2 linked regions of the Styela clava genome follow. The protein of the gene in region 1 purifies or fractionates together with the protein of each later gene. This does not show direct contact. Links are inferred from orthologs where the notes say so. Each region holds a gene or a part of one and is shown on either strand. Other genes may lie near its edges.

Region 1 (16,560 bases):
CGTTCAAGCAAGAAGCCCGGCGCTTGCCCAGGTAATGCCGATATGAGATATCGGCAAACATGCAATATCAGGCTGATATATCGGTCAAGCTCTAACAATTACATATTTCTCCATCCATGTATCTGCGAAGATCTTTTCTGTCTGGTCTTCTGACAGCAGGAATATCCTCTGCAGCAGCTTGACTTATATACAGGGGATGTGTCAATTTAATATTCTTTAGAAAAAAGAGGATTGTATCCAAAGTGTAATATTCTTTTGCATTTCCATTCTTACCAGTACTGAAAAATCATAGATAATGAGAGGTTTTAAAAATTCCTGTATTGCAAATAGAGTACAAAATAAGAATTAAACTATACAAAACTAATATATGACAATTGACTATCCGTACTCTGATTGGCATTACAGCATACCTCACTGAAAATTACCTATACCTTTAAAACAATGAGACCGTGAGTGAAATAAGGCATTTCACATTGAAAATTGTAATTTCTAAGAGCGAATAGTAGAAATTCTTTAAAATATTTATATTTTACGGCTACTTATTCCATATTAGTATAAAAAACATATTATGCTTAATAAAAGCGTTAGTTATTTCATTGGCGCAGATCAATGAAATATGGGAAAAAATGATGCAATTCATCGCAATATTACATGGAACCAGTGCTGGGATTCAAATTTTTTGTCAGCCGGTTCTATCACAAAAATCATATTTTTTAGCCGGCTTTGTTACAAAAAGTCATGTTTTTTTTTTTCAGTAATGCTAACCAGTTCGCTGAGCTCATAAAATTCCATGAGACTGTTCCATAGAACCTAAGTTCGAACCGGCTGAATCGCACCACTGCACGAAACCCTCCCGTAAAAACAAAAAATATTGAAGGTTGAAAAAAGAAATTCATGATAAAACAATTTAGAAAAATATATAATTTAGTTTTTAGCTACAATAAATGTAGGCATTATGGAATTTAACATTATGAATTGATAAATTATATTTCCTAATACAATATTAGCAACAATTTTCAGAGTTCAAAAATTGAAATAAATATTCTTTTAATCAGAAAATCCAGACAGAAATGAAAAACACTAAAAATGAAACTTCAGAAGTTAATTAACCATTACAATGTACTGATGTACCGGTAGCTAATATCTAGATATACTTTGAAAAATACCGTAAACGCAGGTAACTTCGGATGGTTTATAACTTCGGATGAAATTTTCAATCGTTTATATCTCGACTAAATTACGTCATATTCTGCTTCTGGCAGTTTCTATAAAGAGTCCTTATATATCTTAATCTCTTATCATATTCAGTCGCCTAATAGGATTTATTTTTTGACACAAAAAATCACCTTTTTGCCAAAAATTGACACCTCGCTTTTGAGCGGCTAAAATAGCGACTTCTATCGACGCTAACTTCACTAAAAGACCGTCAATCGCTAGAGGGCATACACAATGTACAAGGAAAATTACAGTGATCACGAGATGTCGTACGAGATTCAAGTAAAATATATTATTTTGATTTAAAAATTTCGTTAAAATATCGACGTTACGGTGCTTACGCTGAACGTGACGTCAACAACGTGATTCAATTTCGCTCCATTTAAGGCCGACGTCACATTGCGTAGCTCGTGCGTAACTCGCTGCGACATTTGAACGCCAGACTATGTGGCGCCACGTGTAGTTAAATATAAAGTGAAAACTCCTACCTGATCCTCGTCACCAAATCCTACAAAAACTTAATTATAGCCCCGGTCATATGCTGTTTATTTATTGTGAATCCGATTAATGCACATTAAATTTGTGTGTTAACATTTCGGCATTCTTCGACCGTATAGATGTTGTTGATACGTAAGGCTGATGAACAGCCAGATACGCGTATCTATACTATCACAATGACAAGGTTTTACGATCGGCGATGATAATATATTAAGAGTAGAATGTTGCACAGGTGAGCATGAAACTCTGCACAGGTGCACACAGCAGGAGATTGGAGGTTTTTGGCGTTTTTATCCGTTTCATGTCTATCTGCCTGTGAATACATTATATCTGAATTATCAACACGGCCACAAGCTACACTGTTCCATATTGTTGTCCACTTTCATTTTTTTTACTTTTACTACCTACCGTAATTCATCATCCATTTTTCTTTTTTATTATTTTCATTCGTTTCATTTTTGTTTTGTATTAAAAATTGTTTTCCATTTTTACCTTTACGACTTATTTTATTCGTCCGTTTTTTATTTTCATTTGTCCCATGTTGTCTCATTTTTGTTTCGTATTGAAACGATCATAATAGCAAGATATAGCACTTTCATGAAATTAAGAATAGTCAAGAGATAAATGGTTTAGTTTTGCGAAACGTCAGGAATAGGGCTGGGCAAAATTATTACATGCGTTGTATTTTGAAGCATTTAGCGGTAATAATTATGGCGCGACACTGTCAAAATCGTCGAGTAAAGTGCTGAGTTCGCAAATTCCGCAGATAAAATTGTGAATTAGTCGGTAACGGTTTTAGCTATAATAACCGTTGAGGTATTGTTTTGTTCAAAAAAAAAGTTAAAACTTGAGGGAAATAGTTATAATTAGTGTCCGACCCGCTATCAGGACCAAAAGCCTTATGACAAGTATAAATGCATAACGGCCGATTTATTCAATCATTATTATAAATAAAAATTCAGTATTCGCACAATCGCGGGTGCAAAGCATAACAACATCAATCATCGTCTTAATAAATATCTCCATCTCGGCGACGATAATAATATCACCGTTCGCTTTAAACTCGAACGATTAATAGTATACAAACGGTGATAAGTAAGATCAAAGCCAACACGTAAGATTAAATCAGAACAAAATTAATTTGGGTTTTGAAATCAGTCCTTCTTGTCTTCAAGAGCTGTTGCCGATGTAAACACACGGGTACACCAGATATATAAAACTTTGATGTCCGCCGACCCGGAAGAATTAATAATCACAAAAACGGCCGTCATAGATGAACGTCAGTGTGCGACACGCAAAACGAATCACGGCGTCGTAAGTTCTACGCAGCGACGTTATCACGCGTCACTGATCACGCAGACATTTCTCTCTCACGACGAAGTGACGCAAAGCGAAAAGTGGCCATCCGAAGTTATAAACATTTGGAATACAGATCGGCAGGCAAATAAAGTCAATAATTTGAATGAAAAAAAGTATTGATTGATATGAAACCGAGTTTATCGCGAGGAGAAAGGCTTCAATGTATTATATTCCAAGTTTGGCTTCAATTGAACAATAAACGGCGGAGAAATTGTTCATAATATAGTGAAATCATCCGAAGTTACCTGCTTTTACGGTACCTTCCAGAACAATAAGAAATGAAAAATCAGTAAGTAGTCACTCACCCCCAAATTGGATAATTAGTTTTTATATTTTTGGGCCATGAGAAGTCTCCGAAAGTGATATAGCCATCACGTTCTTCAATCTTCTTCTTCGCCATATTGTATTCTCGTAGAATGCTGAGAGCATCTGCCATTTTGACAGTTGAGTGTCCAAAGCAAAAGAATTTACTAATTCTGGTATTTTACATATGATAAATATTGTTTAATAATTCTATAATTATCAGTTTTTATGATATGATTTATGATAATTCTCTCTAACAAATTGAAAATAAATGTTACTACAAATCTTACAAACGAAAACAGAACTTCATTACTGCATTATGCTGTTAATAGCAGTGTTGTGCGTGAAACCATACCGGTATGGTAACTACCGCAGGGTCGCAATATTTGAAAAAGCAAAATTCCGGACAGTTCATGACCTCGTAGTAAAAAATATGCGCCCGGTACGAAATAACAATGCTCTTTATTAGCAGTGTGCACAGTACGATTGCAGATGCAGTAAAATTCCGGTTTTTAAATTGTTCCCGGACGCAAAATTTGGGTCACGTGTAGTTTCATACCTAACGTACTTCTAGTGGGTGTAGCATAACAATTTTTTGATATGTCAATCCTACGCCATCCAAAAATTACGTCACTACGACATCACAATCACGTCATAGAGCTTGCCAAATATACGTACAGTCACCCGAAATGGCATTGGCGCCGACTATAAAGAACTGACTGACGTTATCGATCTCTCTCCTATTGGAATCGTTGCGACGAGAAAACGAGAGAAATAACTGTTCGATTTCGGGTGCTCGTTTACGCGTCTTGGATGGGCAACCCTAAAATGCGGGAAACGGGAAATGCACCAAAATGCGGGAACGACGGGAAATTGCCAAAACTAAAATGCAGGAACTACGGGAATAACGGGAACTACGGAAAATTTCACTAGAAAGCGGGAATTTCACAAGAAGCGGGAATGACGGGAAATCGCTTTAAGGTATAGGCCTCGAGCCTTGGCCATTTATCTTTCAGTTTCAGTCCTGTTTCTAGAAATAATATTGCCTTTGTTCAAATACCTAACCACGTAAACTGAAAAAAAGACTAATGCAGTGGCGGCGCGTCAATAGAGCCAACCGGGGCAATGCCCCGGTTGTTTTTTTGGTATAATAAAAAATATTCGAAAAATGATTCCGCGCGGCGGTATGGCTCAACGGGCTAAGCGTTAGGAATACGCTCGCCACCGCACCTCTAACTACTCTGCGTGGGTTCGCAGGTTCGAATCCCATGCAGGGATGGTTATGTGCGAGAGGATTGCTGGACTCCTCGCCGTCGTTGGGTGGTTCACGTAACCGCTGGTCGGTTACGGCTTCCTCCACCACCAAGTCCATGCTTCCGAAAACAAACAATACAGTAAATCTAATCCCATACCCGACTTGGAATGGTAACCGGACGAGAGGCCGTGGTTCGCCATATGGATAAGCCGTCTTATCGGCTTTCCTCTCCCCCGGGATAAATATGTAAATCCTATCCTATCCTAAAAATACCACAATATCGGTTGCACAGACTGTCTACACTAGCCATATTCTCCCGACATGGTTCATTTTTCGCTCGCAAAGCCTTCGCCGAACGTCGACGGGGCGACGCCGATTTTGCCCCGGTTGCTCATTGTATATCGTATTCTCTCTTTTATCTTCCACTCGCCGCGTTTGTCTCGTTTGTTTTCTGTTTCTTTTACTAAATCATCGGGGCTAGCCCCGAAATTATGACGACACAATGCCGACGTTTCTTACAACAACGTGTTGACATATTCACGCATTCCTTCTCGTTTGTTGGTTGCTTTAAGAGTTGATAGTTTCCTCGCCTTCGTTTTTGTCGCTTGTTTCGCTATTTGAATCAGTTAGAGACCTTTAGTCCATTTGCTTTCGATTTTCCACATTCCTTTTGAGCTCCTCATTTCTTTCCGGCTTCGCATTTCTTAGCCTCAGACCTCATAATGAATAAGGTTGATGCACTACTTCGCACTCCGTTTTCGCAGCTGCCGCTGGAACAAAAATTAGAGGTACAACGTCCTAGGCCTTATCAACCAAAAAATTGTTCACTGGAACAATCCCATGACGGAGGAACGCGTCGGCGTACATTCTGCGCAGAAACTTGGTATAAAAAACACGAATGGTTGTGTTACAGCGAGGACAAAAATGCACTTTTTTGTTTTTATTGCCTACTTTTTGCTACCGCCCGTGACTCACGTTGGTGTAAATTTGGTTTTAGAGATCTTAAACATCTTTCCGAGCGTGCCAGGGATCATCAATCTTCTATGGAGCATCTGGACAATGCAGTAAAATACCGAACATTCGGAAATGTTAATATTGCAGCACAGTTGGATGAAGGACGCGCGGTTTCTATTCGTCGGCACAACCAAAACGTCGAGAAAAACCGCCATGTTCTCCGTCGATTGATAGATGTTTTGAAGTTCATTTGTTGTCACGAGCTGTCCCTCCGTGGGCACGATGAACGGGCTGGCTCTTCTAATAGGGGTATTTTTGGATATGGTGGAAAACACCGCATCCCTAGATACAGTATTGAGAGATCATCTTGATGCCGCAACTGTTTCGAAAGGAACATCTGAGGATATCCAAAATGATTTGATCGACTCAATGTATAAAATTTATTTACAACATTTGGCTCTGGAAATTGAGAATTGCCAGTTCCTTTCGATTCAGTCTGACGAGACAACTGCTCAAACTTAAGACGGCGCGGCAGTCATGAGTGGGTCGAAACATGGTGTTCAAGTTTATATAAAAGAAGATTTTCCTCATGCGCATTTTTTACATTGTTATGCACACCAATTTAACCTCGTTATTAAAAATATGTGTCTTGATACCCCTCTCGTCCGTATATTTTTTGCAAATGTTTCGGGTTTTTTTCATTTTTTTCCCGTTTCGCCGAAGCGCTCTGACCTCCTTCGCCAGATATGTAGCCGCCGTCTCCCAGCTTGTGCACCAACACGTTAGAACTTCCAATCACGCGTGGTGCAGGGCGTGTCCGAAATTAGGTCTGAGCTCATTGAGTGTTTCAATGGCATTCAGAGCTCTCCGGTTTGGGACGAACGCTCTGTGAGGGAGGCGGCAGGTCTAAAGCGTCTGCTAGAAGATGGTGAGTTTTCATTTTTTCTCCACAATATTCTATCACGTGGATGTATTATACGGCGCATTGCAGTCAAGGCTAATGGATGGAGCGTCTGTGCAGTCGTGTATTTCATCTCGTATCCGGGAAACAATAAAATACGACGACACCTGGAGTGCTTCTTTACGCCGCGGGCAAACAACGCAGCGTTTGATTTTGTCTGCAAAAGAATGCTGTGACAATGACGGGGAAGTTCTTATCGTTAGTCGTCGGTTCTCATGTATGTGTTGTAAACTTATGGTTATTGAATTTCCGGGAACCTCTAATATTCAATTTCGCATCAGGATTGGGGAACAAGCTGAAGTTCATTTTCAAACAAAACTGAAGAATTTATTTATTTACCAGATGTGCGCTACAAACTCATTTCTGGACGTTTTCAAGACTTCGTCTCACGGCCCATATCCGTGGTAAGGAGCTACAAGTGTTTAATAACTTACTTATACATTTTTCAACAACGTCTCAGCATAACTTAACTAACAAGAGAGCTATTTTCAAATATATGGACACGTAGCGCTACCCAGTGGGAATAATTTTGATGACGATGAAAAAAAAGTAAGAGCCTTCTGGAGAAAATTATTGTCTTCAACCACTGAAAATTTCAAAACCATTGGTCCAGTATTCGAAGAGAAAAGCGATTTCTTCAAAACGTGTCAAAGAACAAGGACACAAAGAACAACAACAAAATAATATTGGAACGATCGCTATGTCCACTACGTGTCCAATAAAAACTAAACAGCGCTATGGAAAGGCTGCCCAACCCAACGCAAGGTCGAGCAGTAATAACTAATATTCACCCGCTCGCTAACAGCTGATTCGATTCGATTGTTACGTCATGCAGAAGTCATTGTTCATTGCCGAAAATGTAGAGAATATAGGACAGATCGTAGCACATATTTCTTGTAGTGAAAGCGTCTTTTCCGTAAAACGTGCAATTTTTGGAAGTGGGAACAAGGCAATATTTGTTACTAAATTTTTAAGGAACATTTTAAAATCATTTCCAGGTAGTTATACCTGATGTGCGCTACGAAACTTACTTTCTAGGCGTTTTTCAGGGCCTCGGCTCGCGGCCTAAATTGTGAAACCTTTGGAACTCCGCATTTGATGAAGCGCATTTCAGGGACAATTTCGCCATTCTGAGCACATTGATGACGACCACTCAAATATGACGCCATGATATGAGGATGAGTGAACTCCCTTCAATACCGTAGTGGCGTATATAAATTCGATCGATACTCGGGGAAGTCCAAATGTTATGTAGCTGAGCAATAGGCTATTGTTACACACTAAATATTGTATTTCATATGATTTTAATAATAGACACTCCAAGAGACTTAAAAAAGCCAAACGGAAATTCAGACGCCAAACGTGTTTGAAAAAAGCCAAAAATGCGGTTAAAAAAGCCAATATGGCAACCCTGCTACCGGCGGACTATTTTGATTAGAAGATTCCAAATTCCATTTATATTAGAGTAGACAATTCACGCACAAGAAAGTGAACACATCCTGTGATCGCAAAATGACCTATTTAGGCAATGTAACTGCGTTGAAAGCCTGAACGGAGAATTTTATTTTAAAAGGAGAGGATGCAAACGAAGTTGCGTTATGATCAGTTTTTATCCTTGTGCCATGGCCCCAATTGAGCTGCTTCGTGGCCCCTTTGAGGGCCTTCGGCCCCCGGTTGAGAACCACTGTTCTACAGCTTTTATAAACAAAGCGATGCAAGAAATAATGAACAATTAGCGTCATTTTCAGCTTCAAAAAGTAGAAGGACAGATGAGTTCAAAAAAGATTTTCATTTTAAACAAATGGCAGTTGATAAAACTAGGCAGAAGCATGAACCTCCCTTCTCTCTCTCAATTTTCAGGCATTTAATTTTTTGCCTCATTTCAGTATCAACCTTTTCCGTCGTTTCGGACTTTTGTGCACTGCTGATATTATATTACACCATAGGCTAGAGGTGAGCAAATTACGGCCCGCGGGCCGGAACCGGCCTACTGGAGTGTTTCATCCGGACCACTTGTGCCTGCTGAAATTATGAATATTGTTTTTATGGATATAAATTTCCGTTTAAAATATCGATGAAATAACGGATCGTCGGCTAAAGTAAATAACGTAAGTCCTCACGGATCATCAGTACTGAATATAATGTACAAAACCATCGATCCAAATTATTTATGTCATTCAGAAACTCTAGCTCCCGATATATCAGCATTTGGGCCTGCAAATTTTTTCGTGTTTTCCTAAATGCCGCGAAACGCATAACACAATGGGCAAAAAATCCATAGGGGAGGGAGGAGCGATTGCGCATACTCGGTGAGCAAAATAAATTTAAAATCGGTCATTGTTTTCTTCAGCATGACGTGGGTATTTAAAACGTGAAAATCGGCAAACTATATTCCGGTGAATTACATCTCGCAAGTATTCCGCACGACCTGTTGAGAATCTCTTTCTATCAACTTTCTCTGTGCAGCTGCCGTAATTTGCCAACCCCTTTAATGAAGTCCCATTAATTGATTTTGATCATATCGATATCATCATCGATCATATCGGCCCAGTAACCAAGTCTATTATCCGCATTCGGCCCACTCTGGAAAGTAATTGCCCACCCATGCCATAGGCCACTCCCTACCAAAGCGTATGCTCCCGACCAGACTTGATAGATAGATAGACTTGTTCCGCTTTTGCTGGCGACGTCACTTTGGACGACTGTTTCTTTGATTTCTTGGATTGGTAGGCTATATTTTCATCGAACAGGAATTTTACCCCCGTGTGAAAACAATGAAAAGTCAAATCTTTCAAATAAATAAATTACGCAGCCAACGGCAGAACTGTACAGGCAGACAGGTACGGTACAGTAACTTTCAATATCTCAGCGTATGCTTTGTAATCTAGTATTTTTTTTATCATGGTGCAGAGGCCATAAATATAGCTGAGTCTAACTACTGAATTAGACAAATTACTGAATTAAAACAATTTCTACTTAAGAAAGAAAGGAAAATAGAACTGTTTAAGTTGAGTTTCTGCGCATCCGGAGCGTCTTTAACCTTTATCAGTTTTATGGCAGTATGCTGGTATGGCTCAATACATAATACAGTACAGTAATAAGGTAAAAATTCAAGTGTAGCAGTCTCGATATTGAAATGTTAATAAACTGATTTAGAATATCAAACAAATAACATATTCTGTATTTTTTCAATCGTTATTAAACAAATACTGGAATATAAGCAACAAACAAGTAAAACATAAAAAATATTGACTATATCCAGATATCGGGCATTAGATTAACACATAATACAATGAAATACTGTTTTTATTCAAAATGACCAGGAGCGCCATATGTTTTATCGAAAGAATGATTTCTTTGCTATTTGAAAAGTGGGTTTCCTAATATGTTATTACATATACCTGTAGATACAAATACCAAAATGCTTTTATAATTTTTTACTATTGTTGACTGATATTTTGTACATTTGAAATCTAAATATTTGTGTTTACTCAAATAATGAAAACGGAAATGCATTGAAAACCATTCATTGCATAATTTACTGTGAAACTTATTGCTCGTTTTATTCTCTGACTCTTACTAATATGAATACCTAGTTAGAAATTCTATCTTCTGATCTTGGAATAAATTTTTATTTCAAATGTTATGGATGGATGTTTAACAGCTTATTGATTCAAGTTTTCGTGATAGAATATCATGATCAAACAAAGCAATTTTAGTTCTTAAAAACATTTCGTAAATAATATAAAAAAAATTGAAGGGTGGATTTTCAAATTTATTCTTCATGATATCATTGATTTCCAAATTCATTTAATGAACCAAGTCTAATTTCCTAACTAAAGAAATAAAATAGATGCTTCAAGCTCATTAAAATTGTTTTACAGTATTTAATAGCTCCTTTTGGTAATTATGGCTGACAAAATGGAAATTGATGACTCGTTATATAGCAGGCAACGCTATATGTTAGGTGATAATGCAATGAAGAGAATGGCATCAGCAAATGTACTTTTATTAGGATGTGATTGTCTTGGCGTAGAAGTTGCAAAAAATTTGGTTCTCACTGGAATAGGGAAATTGTATGTGGCCGATAGTTCACTTGTTACAAAACGGGATATCAGAAACAATTTTTATGTCAGTCAGTCGGATTTGCAAAATAAGAAAACGAGAGCAGAAGCTTGTGTGCCACGCCTTGCAGAACTTAATCCTTACGTCCAAGTCGAAGTTTCAACTTCGGATGTTCATATTGAAAATGCTGCATTGGGTGATGCTGATTCTCACAAAGAGTTTACAAAATTTCTCGAAAATATTGATTGCATAATCGCAACCCAACGTAGTCTGCCTCATCAAAAGTATCTCGATAAATTGAGTTGTAATTTGATGGGTCAGTTAAAATTTGTAAGTTGCAATGTTTATGGTGTATTTTCATCATTGTTCTGCAACTTTGGGAAAAATTTCGAGATTCTTGATTCGAGAGGAGAAACTTTGAAGGAAATGTTTGTGGGAGATATTACTAGAAACAGTGAAGGCACTGTAACGTGCTTAGAGGATCAGTTACATGGATTGGAAGATGGTGACAGTGTTTCTTTTTCTGAAGTTGAAGGAATGGTGGAACTAAATGGACAAACTCGAGAAGTACGGGTCGTGTCACCATATAAATTCACAATTGGGGATACAAGTGATTATTCACAGTACAAAGGTGGTGGTTTGGTAAAAGAAAAAACTAAAAAATCTACGATATCCCATCAATCTTTAGATGAACAACTCTTAAAGCCTGACATATTGTTGACGGATTTTGGGAAGATGGATAACCCTGCTATTTCCCATGCAGCTTTCTCAGCTCTTAACTCATTTGTAGAATCCAATGGTAATTTACCAAAGCTATGGAACAAAAATGATGCTGAAGCATTGTTTACATTATTCACCAATACAGTGAATCAGTTTCAAATTGATATTCCAAATGATGAAAATGCCAAGAAAGTTGTTCAATTACTTTCTTTTACTTGTAGAGGAGCATTATCGCCTCTCGCAACTGCGATTGGTGGTATTGCAGCACAAGAGGTTTTGAAGGCTTTAACTGGTAAATACACCCCATTAAAGCAATGGTTGTATTTAGATGCAACTGAGCTGGCTTTTAATCTTCATCTCACACCCGAACAAATGCAGGAATCAGATGATTTAAGTGATGTGAAAGCATGTTTGGGTGAAACAGTGGAAGCACGTTTAGCGAAGTTAAACATATTTATGGTTGGATGTGGAGCAATTGGCTGTGAAATGTTAAAAAACTTTGCTTTGTTGGGAGTTTCAACTGAAAATGGGAAAGCTGTGATTACAGACAATGACGTCATTGAAAAGTCAAACTTGAATCGTCAATTTCTATTTCATAGTCGCCATGTAGGACAATCCAAAAGCTCTGCAGCCTCTTTGTCAGTGAAGGAAATAAATCCTGACATAAAAATTGAGCCTTTGCAATACAAAGTTCAACCCGATTCAGAAAATGTATTTAATGATGCTTTTTTTGAAAGTCAGGATATCGTAGTCAACGCTTTGGATAATGTGGCAGCAAGAAGGTACATGGATACAAGATGTGTTGCAAATCAACGTCCTTTATTGGAATCTGGGACGATGGGACCGAAAGGTCATGTGCAAATCATAACCCCTTTTGTAACGGAAAGTTATGGATCACAGCAGGATCCAGCAGATGTTGAATTTCCTTTTTGTACGTTGAAATCATTCCCCTCAAACATTCAGCATACAATACAATGGGCGAGAGACAAATTTGAAGTCATGTTTAAACAAAAACCAATGACGTACAACAATTTTTGGGAAGGGTGTCAAGTACGTGAAAACGGAAACAAAGATAACATCATAGAATTGGTCAACAAGTATTTAATGTCAGGAAATAATTTAAGAGATGCCTCTGTCACCTTAAGACTTCTATCTGAAGCACCAACAACTTGGTTTGATTGTGTCGTTTATGCAAGACGAAAGTTTGAGAAGTTGTTTAATCACAAAGCAAAAGATTTATTAAAAGCCTTTCCATTGGATACTATGCTGCAGGATGGATCACCTTTCTGGTCATTACCTAAACGTCCACCTACCCCGATTATCTTCAATCTCGAAGACCCATTCCATATGCAGTTCGTCATTAGTACAGCATCATTAATTGCTGCTATATATCGTGTGCAACGTCCCATTAGTCAAGAAGAGATTGCCAAGAGCATTGCCGATGCTATTGAAAAAACAGTGGTGCCTGATTGGGTACCAAGTACAAAGGAAGTTGTAGTTGATGAAAAAGCCCCAGCACCAACTAAGACAGATGAAGATTCACCCGAAGATTTAAGTCAAAAGCTTATGCTTACTGCTAAAACACGTAGTGATTTCACTTTCAAGTTATACCCAGAAGATTTTGAAAAAGATGATGATTCGAACCACCATATTGATTTCATTTCTTCTGCTGCCAATCTAAGAGCTAAAATGTATGGCATTGAAAATGTGGATCGTCTTGAAATAAAGCGAATAGCAGGTCGAATCATACCTGCTATATCTACCACCACTACTGCCGTTTCAGGTTTTGCGACCATACAGTTTCTGCAATTGGTAATACAGCTCATTAATAATGAAAAAAATGGAACGAACTGGTCAAATTGTGCTTCAAATATTGAAACAGAATTGTCTAAATATCGTAATTGCTTTTTAAACCTTGCATTACCGCTTGTGTTATTCAGTGAACCAGCTGCTGCTCAAAAAACAAAATTAACTAAAGATCTCTCCTTCAGTGTTTGGGATCGATGGGAGATTCGTGGCAACAAGGATTTCAAACTAAAAGATTTCATACAGCATTTTCATGAGAAATATAATCTCACAATTTCAGCAGTTGTACATGGCTCAAGAATGATTTATATACCAATCATGCCTGGTCATTCAAAAAGATTGGATCACCTTATGACAAAGCTCATTAAAATTGGAGACAAAAATACACTGTATGTTGATCTGACGGCAACATTTGAAAATCCGAGTGATGATTCAGATGATTTGTCATGCCCACCGATTAGATACTATTTCTAATTTCCATTCTGTTGAGTGTTATTGCAATTTTTGTGTCCCACAATTCAAGCTATTCTATTCTGCACTATATATATATCGTATGATTTTCAAATGTTGTTTTTTAATAGTATAATTGTTTTAATATTATACTCGTCGATTAGTGTCATTGTTATATTATAGACTGTAAACACCAGTGATATTTAAAAGATTTAATTGACTTCTTTATAGTTTTTTCATACACACAGAAGTTTTGGTAATCCATGTAATTTTGCATAAAGAAAAATACTGATTTACAATATTTGATAATCGATATTAGTGACTTCAAAGAAGGATCAAAACCATGATTTTAAATTAGACTGCCGATTGCCTTTGGTGTATGTATTGGTGGTCAAAATTGATTTGCCTCATTTGAATATATACAAATTGGTCCAATATTTGTATGGTCAACTGTAGTGGTTTTTGAGAATGCAATATGAAAAAATTATCATTCCCAATAATACAAATGTTGATTGAATAACTCTTAGCTACTGAAAGATTGTGGATAAGTAGCCACCTTATTGTGAAATGAAACATATGCAAGTTCAAATAAACAGCCAAGCTCTATATGGATTTGGCTTGATGACATCACATCCTGGGATTAATGTGTGGTGAACTTTAGCAGATCCTATGATAAATCTGTTATTCATATAATTGTTCTTGCTGTCCAGTGTCTTCATTGCAGTTATTTGTGTTAATTTATACTTGCTGTCATGCAAATCGATCACTGTACTTGTGTTTATCATGGCTCGTATTAGATGTATTTGCATTTATCATCCATGTTTATAAGTCACGATTATAAAATTATTTTTTTGTATGCTTATATCAAGTTCAAGAATTTTTATTTCGACTTGACACGTTTTCCAATTACCAGCTGATTATTTTTTGTCCAATTCAGCATTTATCAAAAAGTGAATTATGCGTTGAACAATTGTTGAATAAATAATGTGCATTTTATGATTGTTTGCACAAGTCTGAGAATGTACATGTATATTTAAATGAGTGTCATCTGCAGTGGGATTGTCTGTTGGAATAGTTGACTTGACTCACTATTATTAGGATAATCTTCTCAGGGGAGAGAGGATATTCTTCTCATCAACGTGCTATGTTCGTTCCTCCCATGGTCCAATAGAAAATGGGTCACTTTTGTCCTAATCTACACCGCTTTATTTAAAATTCACCTAAACGTTTCCAGTCCCCATTACGGTAACTCTTTTGGAGTCCATATTCAAATCGCTAACCGAAACATCAAATATACCACGAAGCAATTGTCGCCCAGATAATTACGGAGCAACGCCTTCATACGTCCGTTTTATTAAAAATGATCACAGTGAATTCATAATATTATAAAAAATAATTCAATATTTCCGACAAAACCTCATAATTTTATAGTTTGAAGTGTCATTCATTTCAGTCCTTGTGTATATCACAGTATCCTCGTCCAAAATAATACTTGCTTCGCAGTTATCACTTGGCACAAGATCTTGTTCCAAAGTAACAGTGTTTATTCTAGCACCAGTAGCATTGTCATACAATGAGACCACCAGATCTGCAATCGAAATATTCATAATAATTGCACACATATTTGAATTGCGTCGCTAGTTTTCCACACACACAAAATTCATATATTCCCATTTTGCTGGTAGGGTACACCCAGTGCTTTTAACAGATACTGTTGATAACATTTGGTTTCAAATCAAAATGGCTTATCATAGGCTTTATAACCATACGCAATAAATATGAAAGGTAAAAATTTCAAATTAACATTAGATACTAAATTTTTAAATGAATAATAAACATTATATGCCGATGGATTTCACTAAGTGTATGGACTAATAGAAAAATCTGAATGCGAAAAAATAATTAGAAGGTTAGAAGCTGAACTACTAACATTTCAGGTAACTTGTCTCCAGCTTCACTAAAACAATATAGCTCTCTCTCCCCAGCCTAACATATGAGTTGTCATTAATATACTGCCAGAGTAACTTTTTTCATTGAAAACTCTAGTTATGTTGAAATCTTTACCAGTATAATTCTTGATAGCTTTTCATGAAATTTCATTGATCACTAGTGACATACTTTGAAGTGAGTTTACTTTACCATTGAGTGAACAAATGGGCCAAGTATGCGTACCAAGATGGTAGACAGGTAATTTTAGGTACAAATAATACGGGTCGCTTGGCTAGTCTCCAAACTCGTAATAGAACTAAAATAAGGAAAATTGTAATGAAATTATAACCTAACCCTAATCTGGTACACATACTTCAGAGTACCAGCAAATGTGACTTTGCTTGGAGCTAGCTAGCTCACATGGAAACTCCACAGTGAATGGATGGATTTATTCACAGTGTATACTTCATATTTAATCACATACGCACCATAGTGTTTGTTTCCAAAACTGTAATATTCACTGCTTGTGATTCCTCTGAAATGAAGTACAGCTAGAACATCCAACTCATCTTCATATGAGACGCACTGTATGCCAATCACAGATTCAGTTTGATTGTAACCAACAAAGCGTCTGGTTTGTCGGAGTGTCCGACCATAAGAAGACTGACCATTTTCTGTCACATATAAAAAAGAAAATTAGATTTATTCATTTGAATTTGGTTTATTGTCAAATGTAGACCTGAATCATGAGGAATAAATAGTTTATTCCTCATGTCAAATGTAGCCTAACCCTAAGTTTGTACACATACTATGTTCCGGTGTCCGCCATCTTGGTTCACATACTACGGGAGGGAGCATCCAAGTGTATTTCTATGCTTTTTGCACTGGACAAGTGGCCATCTTTGGCTAGGAGCTGATATAGTTGCAAGAACCGGAAACTTTCCGGAATAAACAACAAATCAAAGCATTTCAATTTTAAAAATTTCATATTCCTAGAACAGGAAATAGTTATAGATAGAGACTACCCAAATACAGCGCATAATGT
Region 2 (16,151 bases), on another chromosome or scaffold:
TCATGGAGTAAAGTAATAGAAATAAGCATCAAGACATGCTCAAGTTATTTAGTTTGTTATCTAGTAGACAGTTTCACTTCGAAGAAATAATAAATCTCTTTACTCTCTGCATCAAATGATTGAAGCTATGCAATAAATACTACTCAGAAAAGTTAGTACCGGTATATTATTAATATAGATATTAACAAACAAACATACATTTTGGTTTCAGTTCACATGTAGAATTGTATTCTCCATTTGTACATGCATCGATGCACCGGCAAAACATTGCCTGATATGGTTCTTTCGCTATATCATCAACCAAGTTTAGATCACCAGGAATGCTATCCATTTTTACAATTTTCAAAAATCCAAAAATTACTTCTATTTTATAAGATTAACATACTTTATCAAAACTATAATAGAAAAAGAACCGGACCACAACAACATCAATAATCAGGAATGAAAGCAACACCAGAAAAAATGAACAGTGTTGTGGTAAAATAAACGAAACAATATTTGCAGAAAAAATCTTTTGAAGGAGATTTGGATAACACATACCAGTAAATTCTAAAAATATTTGAGAACCCAAAATAATTTAGAACTTCCATGAGAAGTTCCCAGACTTACAATATAGTAAAACAAAACATTATTGCAGAGTACAAATCATTTTACATGAAAGTTGATTTCTAAATATTCAATTGTTTTTTCACCCCCAAAATACCTTTTTAACACATCGAACAAACTTACTAATTGATCAATGACAAAGCCTTTAAATAAAGCATTTAAAACCAACCAAATGTTGCTATGAAGCATAAGAGGCTTTTGTAAAGTAAAGAGCAAAGCAATGGCAGATGGAAAATGAGAGATAGTAATCATCGAACTTGATCAGGTCAAGGTACTTGACCATTGACCAACACTTGAAATTCCCTGGAGAACGCTTCAAAACAATTGGGATAAGAGTACAAAAGCCACCTGTTTATCATTTTATGTTACAAAATGAGAATAAGAAAAATTTTCAGAATGATAACTATAACAGATCACTAAAATAATTGGTGGATGATAGATAACTATTCAGAATGGTAGTGTTGGAGGTAGATGCTGACATTGTTGTAACATTCAATTTTTTTTGTCGATTAAAAGATGTCCGCAAAAACTAACTTACATTCAAGTAAGTGACCTAAAATACACTATCCTATAGAACTTTTATATTTAGACTCTACGTGGTTAGTTAACGATGTGCAATTGCTGAAACGGGCACAGATTTAAAACATTGCATTAGCCTTTGTATACCTAAGCGCACATCAGGATATTAATGGTATAATTAGCCACTTGTCATGTATTCAAGTTGTTTTAAATAGCACTACAATCATCTTTATTACCAGTCTAGCATTGCCTCAATAAAGTTAACACAAAAACATATCTTCGAAAGACATAATACACAGATGGTTAGTCTTCGATGACTTACTGTAATATTCCAATAGATAACGTTTCACCGATTCCCTAGAACTTTCAGGTATATGCAAGCTCACAGTCACAGTCCTAATTAAAAGTATGATTGTCTAATAATAATTGACTATGGGTAATAATTACAGTAATAATAAATGAACAATGAACTGCAAACAAAGGTACCTTGTTGCCGATTTAAAAAACTCAATTAAAACAAGTTCATTTAGAACTTTAAATTGCACATTAGCATAACAATATTTTTTTAACTTTCTACCAAATATTGCAAATAAATATTAATTAATCAATAGATGAAACAAACAATTTGAAAAAAAGTCAGAATTTGGATAATTTCAGCTTCACGTATCCAACAGAATATTTGAGATCATTACCAATATTGTTTATAATTTTTCCAATATTTATTCTGTTGCCTTTATATATAGAAATGTTCGATCTATTAAATTTGTAATGATATTTTGTATGAAAAATAGGCCATATTAGAAATACAAGAGAGTGGGGTATAAGAAATACAAGGACTACTGACCACACCTAGAAGTTAATTCTTGAACAATTTCCCACTACTGAGGGCTCCATATAGTTTCACTTTAAAAATACTTTCAGTGAAAAATTGTACACCTTTTTTCATTTGGCTCCACTAAGAGGCAATGACCAAATCTACATTTGGTTACATGGAATGCTGTTCACATATTAATACCAAATAATTCAAGAATTAGTGAGCAAGCTCGTGCCTTTGAATCCTTCTTCTAAAACTTGATCATTATTAGATATTACAGGCAACATTTCTTGAGCATTATCATCTGGTTCATCAGCTATTAATATAATGGTACAGTTCGGTAACACTGACAAAGAACCAAGTGTAGCACTATTGTCCGTTAGTATCTTGTCTTCAAGCCAGAGATTCTGATCAAATGGTGGAACAGAAAACATATGCATGATTTTGATTTTTAGCTCTTTTAAAGTCCAGTTTGAAGACACTGTAATTTTCTTTCCCCCTGGAGTTGTATGAGCTCTCTTACTTTTCCGAACACAGTTTTCTTGAGAAGGTTTTTTGAACTCGTTGCTCCAAGATTTCATCTTGTCTAAAATCACTTTTTTAATATAAATTTCACGATCAGTATAATTACGCAGACTATGTTCCTTCTGGACTGCTCTGCCAACAATACAATCTTGACAGAGTTCGGGTGTAAAATGAAGTACAACTTTGAGGCTTGATTTTTCATTTACAATCTGATCAAGAATTACAACAGGAGTAATATTTACCTTGATTTCAGTTGATGATCCGTTTTCTATTGGTGCTTGAGGAACATTATTGTTAGATTCGATATTAGTTGCATGAGAGGATGGAGCAATTGGCACTTCTTTTAAAATAGTACCTTCTTGGTGCTCTATTTCACACTGTTCATGGTTTTTTACCCCATTCTGTTCTTCCGATACCATGATATGTTTCTTTATGGATATTGGTACATCCACAATGAAGTTTTTTGTTAAATAACCCCACTCTTCTGGCCAAAGTAACATAGTGCTTATATCATCTTTATCATAATTGTCAAAGTTATTTAAAGAAATGACAGGATCACATAGCAACTTATCATGAGGGCATATCAATATTTTGTTCTGTACCTGTGACACTACCTCGTTTTTTGAAGAATATTTGACATATTCTCTCCATTTCCGCACGAATTCAGCAGAAACGATATAAAATGAAGAATCATTTATAGCATATAAATCTTCATAATTAGGTCTGTTTTTATTGAGAAAAAGATTGTGAAGGCAAGACTTCTGTTCATGAGCCACCATCTTCTTAAGTTCTGCAGCCTGCTCAGCATCGTATTCTTTATCTTTGCAGATGTGACAAGGCGTAGCACTTGAGGTTTTGTATACGGGAGCATCAGGAAAATATTTAACAAGAATATTCCACACTGATGAAGACACCCTTCGATACTGTTTATAATCAGTAGTAAAGTTACCATGCTCACACAGTAAATCTTCATTAAAATTAAAGTCTTCATCACTACTTTCAAAACTATCTTCATTTTCGTTCCTTCTATTCCATTCATCATTGTCTTCATTTGATTGTACTGTCTGTATAATTTGATTATTTCGATTTTTCAATTCGAAAATTCTTGTTGCCATTGCTTTCCAGGATTGCAATGAAGAACGACCAATATAATAATACTCATTCTCTTCAGTTGAAGAAAAGTCTTTCAAAAGCTTACTGACAGTGGTTTGATCTTCTTTTAAACTTGACTTAAGACGAAGTGAAAAACAGTGTTCTTTTACGCATTGAAGACAAAGCATTTGGTTTGTGATACGGGGAGTTTCCTGTTCGTACATTTCAAATAGGTGGTCTGCTAAAATCTTCGGAATGCATTTCATCCCACCCACCTTGTGTGGATCCAATTTCTTATGGGTGCAAAATATTTTATCTGTTGAAAAGCTATTTTTCACGCCAGCGCTTACATTTAACATGCGTTTTAACCACATTGTCGGTACCCAATAGCAATCTGAAAGTAGCTCCGCCTGTTCCATATCAACCATTTGTTTCAGAAGATTTCCCATCACAGAATGTTTCTTTGTTTCTTCAGATGCTTTTTTTTCAGCTTCTATTATCATTGCATTCATACAAGCAAAAAAATCAGCATTGTCTTTTTCTACAGTAATTTTCGCGAGCTCTGGTATTCCAGGAGGTGACTCAATGGAAGATGACATCTGTTGTTTTTTTGTGTATACAAGCATATATGCATCTTTTGATGAGTGTGTGCCTTTATTTAGCTTTGGCTTTTTTGCTGGCTGAGGCATATCTGCCTGATAATCATCAGTAGTTAATGCATCCAAATCCAATTTTTTGCCACTTTTCATTTTCTCGATAGCCTCGTCATTAAATCTGTGCCAAAACTGTGTCGTAGAGTCCTTAATATGAGCGATATAGTGGCCTGAAGACGCGCTCGGTCCGCGATGAATCAAAACTGCTGTAAGTTCATAAACTGCATCAATGGCAGCTACATTATCAGATGTAACAAATGTTGACATGTCAAGTGTGTCAGGAAAAGATAAAAAACTAGAAAGCTTTTTTCTGTTCCAAGTTTTTTTGTCGAACACAAACCTCAGAAGCTGTAAATTAAGAGTTCGAGGTAATTCCTTAATGACAATCCTACGTGAGGCATCTCTTTTACAGTCACAGCTTGCACAGTGATATTGGTTTTCATTAATGAGTTGTTCTTCTTTGAAAAACTCCTTTAAGCACTGAATGACGTCTTTATGTCCTTGTATAGACAAATCCAGTTCGTAGAATTTAGAGGGGCACTTTGAAACATTACCGCAAGTGTTGCAAGTAGTACAGTAGTCATATTCGCCACAAAATTCGTGACAAAGAAAATTCCCAACACTTGATGTACGATCAAGTAGATTGAGCAGAAGTTTAGAAAATTCTTGCGCATCTTGTTGCAAAGCAGTATCCAATCCAAGACAATTAACAAAAGATGTTGGATCTATATTTTTTCTTTTACCACATTGTAACATGGCAAATAATAATTGAAGATGCCCACACACTGTGTGTGGAAATTTGGAATTACTTTCGGCTTTTTGATCATCAGTGACGTTTTCTTTATAACTATAAACTGCGCGACGAAAAGATAAATTATGAAACCATAGTTGCAGAAAAGTGTTAACATAACAGGTAGCTCCCAGATTTTTTAATCCAACAAAATCTCCATCTTTTCGTACTCCACTTTTTATATCCTTGACATCATCTTCTAACACATTTTGATAATTACCATCCCGAAGCCAGAAACCTTCGCCAAGGCCTCTTAGACAAATAGGATTACTGGAGCAATTTTTCCGACATGCGTTGCATTTACCCAGTTTCAGATGGTAGGCTGTATATAAATGTTCATCAGTTATCTGATCAGGTGGAACATTCTCTGTCCACTGCCACACCAACTTGCTGACGGGTACTTTTGAAATTGTCTTTTTACCCATGTCAACGAGGCGTCGGACCTCTTGTCGGGTACAAGAACAGACTTGCCCACATTCCAAAATTACAACCTTTCTATTGCCTATTTACCTTCAACAACTTCCTTTCTGCAAAAAGATAAAAATGACAATTAGATTCAACCACAATCCACTTTTCATCGACTTACTTTGGGTTTATATCTACCCACCCTTTAAAAACATCGTAAAATTTTAGTAAACTACGAATATTGACACTGTAAAATATTCTAACAGAAGGTATGACAACTCAGATTGTCATAGCAATAAAAAAATATGAATATGATACCCAAATCAAATAATAGCACTTAAATGTCGCAGTGGTGGCGATTTTACTACATTTCACCATTTCTAATGAATTGACTCTATCTTAAATATCGGAAAGATGCGTCACATGATATCCATTTTACACTATTTGTAAATCCTTTTAATTCATACCAATTCATTTAGTTTAGTGTCTAAAATAAAACTTAACAAATATATCACACATTAAGGTATACCTAATGATAAAAATATTCAAATAAAGCCGTAGATTTAAACAATATATAAGTATCTGTTCGAAAATTACGATAATCATGTAGGTTTAGGGAAAGCTGAATAATTAAAAATTAATCTGGACTTTGTTTTATTGTAAGCAAATCTAATCTAATAGAATATTAATAAATAAATAGCAGATGCCATTTCATTGACTCTAATACACTATCATCTTAACCTTCTCTTCTGAAAATTTTCACATATGTGATAAAGCTTGATATCAATTTCATAAACTCATAATAGTTTGACACAATATGTAACATGACACACATTCTTTGGTATCAAATATCGTTCAAGTTGTTAATATTATTCATACTTTACCATGGAAACACCTTTAACAAAGCAAATTTATCGTTATAAAATCAAGTAATCCTTTATTAATAACATAAAACAAGTTGTTTATTGCAATTTTATGATTCATTCTGAGCACAACAAATTTTCTTATATCTAAATACCTTAGCAAAACAAATTATGTGTGCTTGAAAAGGTGTTTTGACGCACGATTTGAATAAATAATGCAGCAATTTGAAAATAATTTTAATAAAAATGTACTAATATGAACAAAGAGGCAAAAAATAATGGGAAAAATTAACTTGAAAGTAGTTTTGTGTATGGCGGTACAGTCCATAAAAAATCAATGTTGGTTGGTCATAAATGAATGTATTCTAATGGCTGAAGCTGATTTGAAGTTGATGATAATGGAGTTGACCGACTGAACGGTAAAATGCTTACCGGTATATTTTAATAAATTTTAATTTTCACAATAAAAGCAACAAAATTATTTGTTTTAACATTATGCTACATTCATAACTGATTTCATCTTAATGTTGTTTCAATATATCAAATATCATTTTCTCATGCCCAGATGAAACCACTATACACGGCCTTATAACCGCAGTGCGATGTTTAACAACATTTCCAAATTCTAAAATTGACAAACAAGACAATTATGTTCCAACATAATTTCTCTTAAATATTAAGCAAGAAAATTTTAGATTGCAAAAATAAATAAAAACCAAACTGTTAAAACCAAAAATGAACATAATATGAGAAAACTCCTTGGCTTATTTGCATAAAAACTCTTGATAAACTAATATGAATATATTAAGCTGGTAAACAATGCAAAATCTCCGTCTTGTTTCAACACACAATAGCAAAGAAATTTCCAAAAATTTAGGGTTAGGCCCTTATAATAAAATCATTTTAGGTAATACTACCATCGATCCATGTTGATAATAGTAATGCTAGTAATAAAAAATTAGGAGCATATGTGTATATTCATGTACAAACAAACAGATATTTCAAAATTCCCTACCACAATTCATTTTCAAAATATGGTAACGTTTTATATATTACAATTTATTAATAGGTACTCAATTTTTAAACATTATTATCGTTCTAAAATATAAGAATGAATGGGGTATATCTGACGAACATCGTAGCTTATGTCTTGCGTGTAAGCTCAACAGAAATAATTACCGACTATTGTAAATACAATTGTAAATATTATTCAAACGAATCATCGTTTGTTAATGCAATTAACAACTCGTCTTTCTGACTATCTTGCCGTCGTGTAAACGCGAAGCGCGAGACCTTTAATCCACTCAAGTCATTAATATTTCAAAGACAACAGACAAGCCTGCAGTTCGCCATGGCGCCAATCAATCTACTGGCGGCGCGACGAGCAAGTGACGTCACTACGAGAACAACTATATCATTGCCAAGCTTGTCAGATCCTTCATTTTGGCGGGATTACTTATAGATCATGATTGCGTTGTAGGAAAGTTGATTTTTAAAACTGGTGTTTAGCTGTTTGCACTGAACCAGGACTACAAATTTATGAATGGGAAGAAGGCCATAAAACAGACCCCCGACACCCAGATCCTCGTAGTAAATTCAATCTAGCAAGTCTGACGATAAAAGGTTTTTAAATTTCCAATCAATTAATTGCCAAGCTTGAACTATGACAAATATCTATCTTTGCCAAGGGTACTACAGATTTGGCGTAGTAAACATAACATACGATATTTGTCGTATTTGGGTCCATCAAATGCCCACGGCAATCGATTATCAAACGGAAGACGATGTAACCGCTATCTATAGCTAATAGCATGTTGTTTGGCGCCGGAAATTTCGATATCTTGATCATTGTACAAAAGCAGCCGCCAACTGACCTGACTACATTGTATTTCTAATACAAAAGTATATTATACACATGACTTCAAATTGAGTTAATTTCCTACTCAAAGTTAAGCAAATAACCATAATATACCGCATGTCTAAAAAAACCTAACATATGCAAGGTATACCGATTTCTAAACCAAAACAATTTTTAGCGACGAAAATATCACAATTTTGAGCGGATGTGAATCTCGATTTCAAGGAAGAAAAACTTGAACTGTAAACGCCGAAATAATTAGACAGACGGAGACTGGACCAGATGTCGAGCGAACAAAAAGATAAAGCACTATTCTATTCTATCCACTATCTCCCATCAAAGTTATGTTCACAACGATTACCATCTTTTCACAAAATACCGACCAAGCGCAAGCAAATAACGTCAACTGTAAAGTAACAATCGGCGATAGTGAATGTGAATTTTATACTATAATATGATAGGTATTGTGAATTTTCATTAATACCTAGTTAAAACTGGTTAAACAATTCGATTTAAACGAAAAAAAATCAGGAAAATCATTCAGAAACTCATAATTTCTGACGACGAATTTTAAATTACGAAATAAAAAAAAACTAATCTCTTTTTTTGTGTTTCTGAACATTCCTACCTCGATTCACAGTATCATAAAAGAAAGAAATTCCGATCCAAAACTCCAATTCCGACGCGATGTAAAACCTTCAACGACTCCCGACTTTCGACAGAAGGAATTCACAACTTTCAACCCTTCGTGTTTAAACAAAACAATAAAACAAAATGGGTACTGTAATTCTATCGTATTCGTATCTTTGAACTTTGCATATACAAACACGAACGAAAATCAGATAAGACAAAAATCTATATTCTTTCATAAGCAACAGTGCGTAAATACGCGGTAACGTAATTCCGAGTCGTTGGTCGCATTGTTGTAATTTTTCGGATCATATCCACTTCCGTCATTCCACGTCTTTTCTCTGAAACCGCTAACCGCGGAAAACAAAACGTAGGTCATAAACCAAAAAAGACAATTTTTTGACGACTGAATCTGCCGGGGACAAACGAAGGTGCGATTATAAGGAAACAGCCAAAATTCTAATGTCTTATTGACATTTTTAAACCTATCCAACAAGCATTTGACCAGCGTTTCTCAAACTGGTCACTCGCACCCCTTCAAGGGCCACGAAGTGGTTCTCCTGGTGTCAAAGGTCTTCACTATAGATACCATATGCGATGATTGCATTTTTTTCTTTCTAACCAACTGTGATTTGTTTAGTTATTTGACATTATTACATTTGTTCTTTTGTTGGCTTTTTATTATTAAACAAAGTGAACAAAAGAAATTATGGAAACCCGTTTGGAATTAATTTTCAATATAAGACCCTGGATCATCGTAGGATGCTGAGAGTCTATAAAAGGAGGTCACGGAATTCTAAATTTTGAGGAATACTGTATTTTAAACGGTGACAATTTACAAATGATAACGTAGGTATATTCAATAATAATAATTCCGTTTTGGCAACAATTTTCATAAAAAACTAGGACATGGTCGCTTCGGTGTTAAATGATGGGCATACATGATCATCTATTCCGACAAGACTACATGAAAATGAAATAAGCAACACACTTTGACTGACATGTGCGGGAATTGAAAAAAAATATTTCTACTACATTTTTCATCACCGTCTGCTATAACGAACATGAAACTCAAGACAATTTAACGAAAAATATCAACAGAAATTTTTTTCGAAAACATGTGAGTTCCTTTGAAACTCGGAAGTATATTGAAATCATGAACTTGTTAAATGCAGACTTGAACGGAGGGAATTGTATATTTGATAAATATGACTTCATAAGACTAAACACTGATGTGTGGGAAATATTTCCACTCCTTGGTTGTTCTGTCGTTAATCAAAATGTTCAAACTCGCCCTTCCGCAATTCCCACCTCAGCCCAAAGCGATATCAAAACATGACATTAGGCGGCGTCAGCAGGCCTCGCAGCGGGACATTAGTCTGGGTGCAGACCGCATATATCGTTACAATTTCCCGAACTAAAAAAATATTGGCGCCTACTGATTTCTTAATGCCCTAAAGCTGACACAATGGACATATTTTATCCGACTGGAAAATTTCAATCGACATAAAATGAATTATCAAGTAAGCGTCATAAATAACTCGCCGTGCGTCGGGAAATATCTGTAGCCCATGCATAAATAAACGTAAATCGAAGTTAAAAATTGTTTCCATTTAACAAGGAATCCATTTCAACTATAAGCGATATGGTTATGTAAATCAGATTAAGACTAATGATACTCGAGAATTGTAAGGACACACGCTGTTGGGTTTTCAGAACGGCGCCAAATTTATACCGCATTGAAAGTGATTCATCTGCTTTTTAAACAAATGTGTTTGTCATGATATTTCAGTTGAATATCAAAATTTCAAACCAGATGTCAAAAAATGGTCAAAATTCATTGAGTAAATCAAACCTCCGTGACCCTTTATAAGTGATATCCACAAATCACTTTGATTCCAATTGTACAAAAATAGAGTTAATTTCCAATTTAAATTCATTTACTTCGAATTTTAATTCAAAATTAACTCTTCAAAACGCCACGCAATAAAAATTTTCCGCATTTATAGGCATTTCTGTATACTACTGTTAGTTAAATGAATACGATAAAAGATATGACTACAACAACGGACCTAAATTTGTCTTTCGTAAATATCGGATATTCGGGTCAAAGAAACATGACTTCATTTTGAAAAGTATTCCAAAACTGAAACAACGCTTATCCGGACATAAGTACCGCCGTAACCGTAAGTAAATGTTATTTCCTAAAGACAACTCCAGATTGAGCGATGTGCTACTGTTGCCAGAAAATATAACAGTTCACCGAAAATGGCAAATTCTTATACGCGTCATTTATTCAGAAAAACCTTATACTTTGGTAAATCGTAATATCCTTGATAAAGACTGAAAAATACAAGGTCCCGTTTACCTGCGCCACATACCAAAAACTCTGCAAAGTGCAAACGTAGTTACTCGTCACAAAACATCTCCTGCAAAACGCCAAACCTCAAGCTACCTAGCAGCCACACGCACGACACTGGTTTACTATTCCAAATTAACATGTTTTCAAACCACAGCCCCATGTTTATTTCAGCGCACCACCGGGCTAAGCCAAAGACGTACCCAAATCGTGCATTGCTATCATAGACCGAGCATGATGGGACATAAAAAAGCAATCAAAGTCTTCTTTCGATCTTTGAAATCGCAGGTGCGACAACAATAGACCAGGAAATACGATACTGGGAGTGACTGACAAAGACACGACCGAATCTTGATTATAAAAGAATAAAGATGTCTAAGAATGGACCCATTAAAAAAATAGAATACTAACTATGCAATGAGTTTTCTACTTCTAAGAAGCGCAAAAACAAAGTGAGTTCCAAACACGGCCAAATAATTTAACAAAAGGTATGTGTAAGGGTAGCAAAAACGACGAGGGCCAAAAGGGGCGTGTGTGGCGAACCACTGACGTCCGTCCAAGCTGTACAAAGTAACATCACAACTTGTGACGTAATAGTCGAATTTACTTTTTTTTTTTTAAATTTTGTTCGATCGACAGAATAACAAATTGAGATTCTGAAAAATATTAACCAAAATAAATTCCTAAATATTTTTCTAGACAACTCGATTCGATAAAAGTTATGATAAAAGATTGGCGATAACTTTAATTCAATTTTTCTGAATTGCACCTTCATCTAATAACAGGTGGTCAAATTAAGGTGGTAACGATTTCATAATGTTGACCACTAATTTATATAAATCGTTCGACGGAGAAGATCAAAACTGCGTTGAATATAATATTCTCATAAATTCAGCGAATTAGTAAAGTGAAGGGATAACAGTGGAAACAGAAAAATTGAATGAATAATAATAGAAACATCCCAAAAACAATTTAGCACATGTAAACATCTTTACCACATCGTGTAAATTTCCGAACGCTGAATGTAATCGGAAATATAATAGTGTAGTAATGCATAGCGCAACATTGAGCTATTGTTGGAGATAGGCTTTTGAATCGACTATTTTAATCGAATGGAATATTAAATTTTCGAATCGGTTCAGAAAAAAATTCGAATGGCCGCCATCTTGTTTCAAGGTGGATTCGCAATTTTTTTTCCATATTTTTAAAATGCAATTCTGAACAAATTCTTAGGGATGTAAGTTTCGCATATTTTATTTCTGATGTCCATATCCATCATATTGGAAATTATACCTATTCTGTTCTTAACTTCTACAAAATATTACAGTCTTAAGTCCAGCTAAAAATTTTATTATTGAGAAATTCAGGATTTCAAGACCACCATCTTGTAGACGTAGGTCGTAGAGCATGGCTCAAAACCACAAAATATTGAAAAAAGTGAAATTTCAAAAAAATGTGACTTAGGCCCTTTCTGTCTCAAATAATAAAATAATAAATATATAAAGTATTAGAGATTCGATTAGATTCTGAAATCATTAGGTATTCGAAAATGCCCAGCCCCGACCATTGTCGGAATCGTGTTTAGCATTAATAATAAATTAGTCAGTTTTTCAGAAAAGAAGATAAAGACAAATTTGCCTCATAAAGAGCGTTAATTAATGGACATTGCACAAACATTTCTGCGAAAACGGACACACAGAATTAAGAGACCGACAGTCAAGACGCCCAATAGCCTTCGTTCAGAGAAAATTTTAATTTTATACTGCTCGGCGGGGCGAAAGTAAAATATAACCGGCAAATCGGTACAACAGTAAATGTTCGCTGAATAATTTGAATTGAGAAAGCATACCACTCCCGCACAAAATATCGATGAATTCATATGCTACAGAATTATTCAGCTAGCAAAGACGAGAGGAAAAATCTTGATAACATACATATTTAACATAACGACGATGAGTAGTTATGTTTTGAAATATCAATATTTATATCAATGACCACAATTAGCAATTTTATTGGCATTTTTGAAAGTTGTCGTTTCGAAATAAGGTACCATTCACTGATTTTTGCAAATAACAAGATCGGTGCCCGATAGTCGCAAACTTGGCTTTCGATCTGATGGCTGTTTGACATAAAGCACGTATACAATATAAAAATAACACCGGCAAACGCCACTTAAGGTTTAATAAGTAAATCAGGATAAACCGACGAGGAAACATTGAGTGATCGATTAGTTCAAGCGAGTTTGGGTATAATTTATTAGGATATTTCATGGATAATTTTTTTTTATCTTGCTACATATAAGATATTAGTTTAATTAATAGGGACGAGGACAGACGCTAACAACATGAACTACTTATTCCATAAACCTGGCTTCCTCGTACGATTACCAGTCAGATCGGATGTAAAAAAATGTAACCAATTAAATATTCGTTCCAGATGCCAGCCAGTGACATGAACCATATTGCGACAGTGAATTGACATCCTATTCATAGATTTAACACGAAGCATTTGGCATGAACTGTTGTAGTGAGGGAGAAATAAAAAATGTTTCGTCTAGAGACCCCGCCAACAAACACCCCCGCCACTGAAATTAAAAAAAATTAGGGATTGGAATACAGATTGCGCTTGAAATTCAAATTTTCAAATCAGTCCAAACCGAAACCTCAAATCTCGCATTTTTCATTAGTTGCGAGGGCTCTCAACAAAAAAATCCGCAATAGAAAGATCCAAACTAGGCGCACGTAGGAATTTATCGAAAAAAGTTGGGAGCCACTGTAATAGCATATTCGGACCCGGGTGTTAGAATTTACATTTTGCATCAAGGAAATGTCATTGACGCATTCACCAGTCTGCCGACGAAGCGACAAATCGAGAATGTAGCCGACGCCGCAGCAGACGCAAAGTCCTGCTTGGTTAACTAATTGTGACCTTGAAATACTAATAATTTGATATGTAATTGTGACCTTGAATAGTAACAATTTGCATTCTGGCGGCAATGGACAAAATAACTGTTAAAACAATTCTCCTTATTTTGTCTGTACCTTTAACTTAACATGCAATACAACAAAAGTGAAGACTTCCTGAACTTGCCAAGTAATGGCAGGCAAGTGGCAATCAAATTATGTATTTATTGGATTATTGTATTGCGAATTGCATCATGTTGATATCCAAACGCAGTATTCATTTCACAATTGCAATTCGAAGATATAATTTGAATTTCATCATCGTCAAGTGGAATTGTACAACGCAGTTCATGTAAATTAGTCCAGGTCATACTTAGATCACATTTAGGTTGCCTTGATAATGGGTTTAGAACCAAGAAAAAAAATAGGAAGCACTTTTTGTTTTAGATTATTATCGTTATGGTTCGAATAACTGATGCTGCGTACTGCTCCAGTGCTTAGACAAAATAAACGTTCAGTTCATTGAGAAAATTCTCCTCTATCGAAATGGATCAAATTTGAAATATTATAAATGATACTTTAATAAGAAAATTAAAATGTATTCCGAGTAATAATTCATTAGATTTTGACCAAATATGTAAGTACATCACATGGTTAGAGCCCCAGTACGATTTATCAATCTATAATTTCTCAACAAGAAAACATATCAATGTCTTAAATGTAAGGTTAAATACAAAATTCTTTTTGCTGTTAAGAGTTAGAACACCTAGAGTGGTATTTAAAATTGAACGCCCCAATTAGAGTTCATGGCCGATATTAGTATGCTATACACTGAATGGTAAATTTATTATTTTAGTCTGATGAATTGTAATGAAAATTTGGCATTAACTAATCATGTAAACTGGTGTGATACATACACGTACCAATGTGATACATACACGTACCAATTCAACAGTTTCAGAAATGAATCAGACGAAAACACTGCCCCTAATAATTTCTGAATTGCTAACATTCAATCGTAGGCGTCTTATAATAAAGTATAATATTCGTTTAATATTAAAACATACCGGTATCTTAGATAACGTGAACCAGATTACGGTACTAAGAAAAGAGATTATGGTGATTGTCGGCCGGAATAAACCATTCGTCTGCGGGCGAGCAAAATTCTAGCAGGCGTAATACGATCGCGTTGATGTAAGAACGAATGTTGTGTCAGAATGGCGCCAAGGTACGACGCACCGTCTTACCAATGGTTTCATGAACATTTTCCGAGTGTAAGCGATCCTTCATAGTGAATTGAAATCAACAAATATGCTACGGACTGCAAAATCAACGAAGCAAATAAAAATTGTGCAAAATAATTTATTTTGCAAAATATATTCAACGTATCTCGTAACTAAGAAATATTTGTTATTAATACCAAAGAAAAGACTACTTTTCATATTGAAATAAATGACTACAACGATTCTATTTTGTGGTGTTGACACACTACATGTTGCGTGTATTATTTTACTCGAAAATATCTCTAAAGTGGCAACTTTGAATTCTCAACAAAGTATTACTAGGTTTATGTGTATGTTTACATATAAAACAGTAGCGGGGCCATGTACACCAAATGGCGATGGGGGATGTTAATACCAAGTACGCAAATTAGACTGAGTTATTATAACACAAAGCAAAAGTTAATATCAATCCATTTTTTACCAGAATAAATCTAACATAAATTTTTAACAGTATGGATTTTTGAAATGTCATATCCAGCAGCAGACATTTATGTACGACTATTAATAGTCACTCAAGTACCAAATATTGCGGTCGACAACGTCATCAGTCGGACAGGCGGGACCAAAAATATAAAAACTAGCTTTGACCACAACTACATCCTTGATATAAAACGGTACGGAAGCTATCTGGCAATGGTACGTTCATATTGTTGTCAGAAGGTCTAGTCATCTGGAAAGCATGAATCGCGACTCAAATCGCGTTCGGCTTCAACCCCATACTAGGCCGGTGTATATACATCATTTACATTTAATCCAACTATTTGTCAGATGACCGTGTTTTTATAAAATGCGAACTATGTACAAATTCACTGGCGCCAACGAGAAATGCCATGTTGGGCTTAGTAAGGTAT

The links.
Region 2: the proteins of ubiquitin-like modifier-activating enzyme 6 (region 1) and ubiquitin carboxyl-terminal hydrolase 48-like fractionate together in Homo sapiens (co-fractionation; 3 studies listed by BioGRID, with this or other methods). This does not show direct contact. The link is inferred for Styela clava from reciprocal best matches to the Homo sapiens genes UBA6 and USP48.

Annotation. Positions count from the first base shown.
Region 1 is NC_135254.1:14,426,553-14,443,112, reverse strand, and holds ubiquitin-like modifier-activating enzyme 6, read left to right. Parts: upstream 1-10,404; 5' UTR 10,405-10,454; coding exon 10,455-13,610; 3' UTR 13,611-14,610; downstream 14,611-16,560. Other genes in the region: parafibromin-like, read right to left, coding at 103-278, 3,378-3,508; DDB1- and CUL4-associated factor 17-like, read right to left, coding at 14,984-15,174, 16,004-16,189. UniProt on the Homo sapiens protein: Activates ubiquitin by first adenylating its C-terminal glycine residue with ATP, and thereafter linking this residue to the side chain of a cysteine residue in E1, yielding a ubiquitin-E1 thioester and free AMP.
Region 2 is NC_135260.1:11,601,946-11,618,096, forward strand, and holds ubiquitin carboxyl-terminal hydrolase 48-like, read right to left. Parts: upstream 8,143-16,151; 5' UTR 5,425-8,142; coding exon 2,149-5,424; 3' UTR 396-2,148; downstream 1-395. Other genes in the region: bone morphogenetic protein receptor type-1B-like, read right to left, coding at 199-331.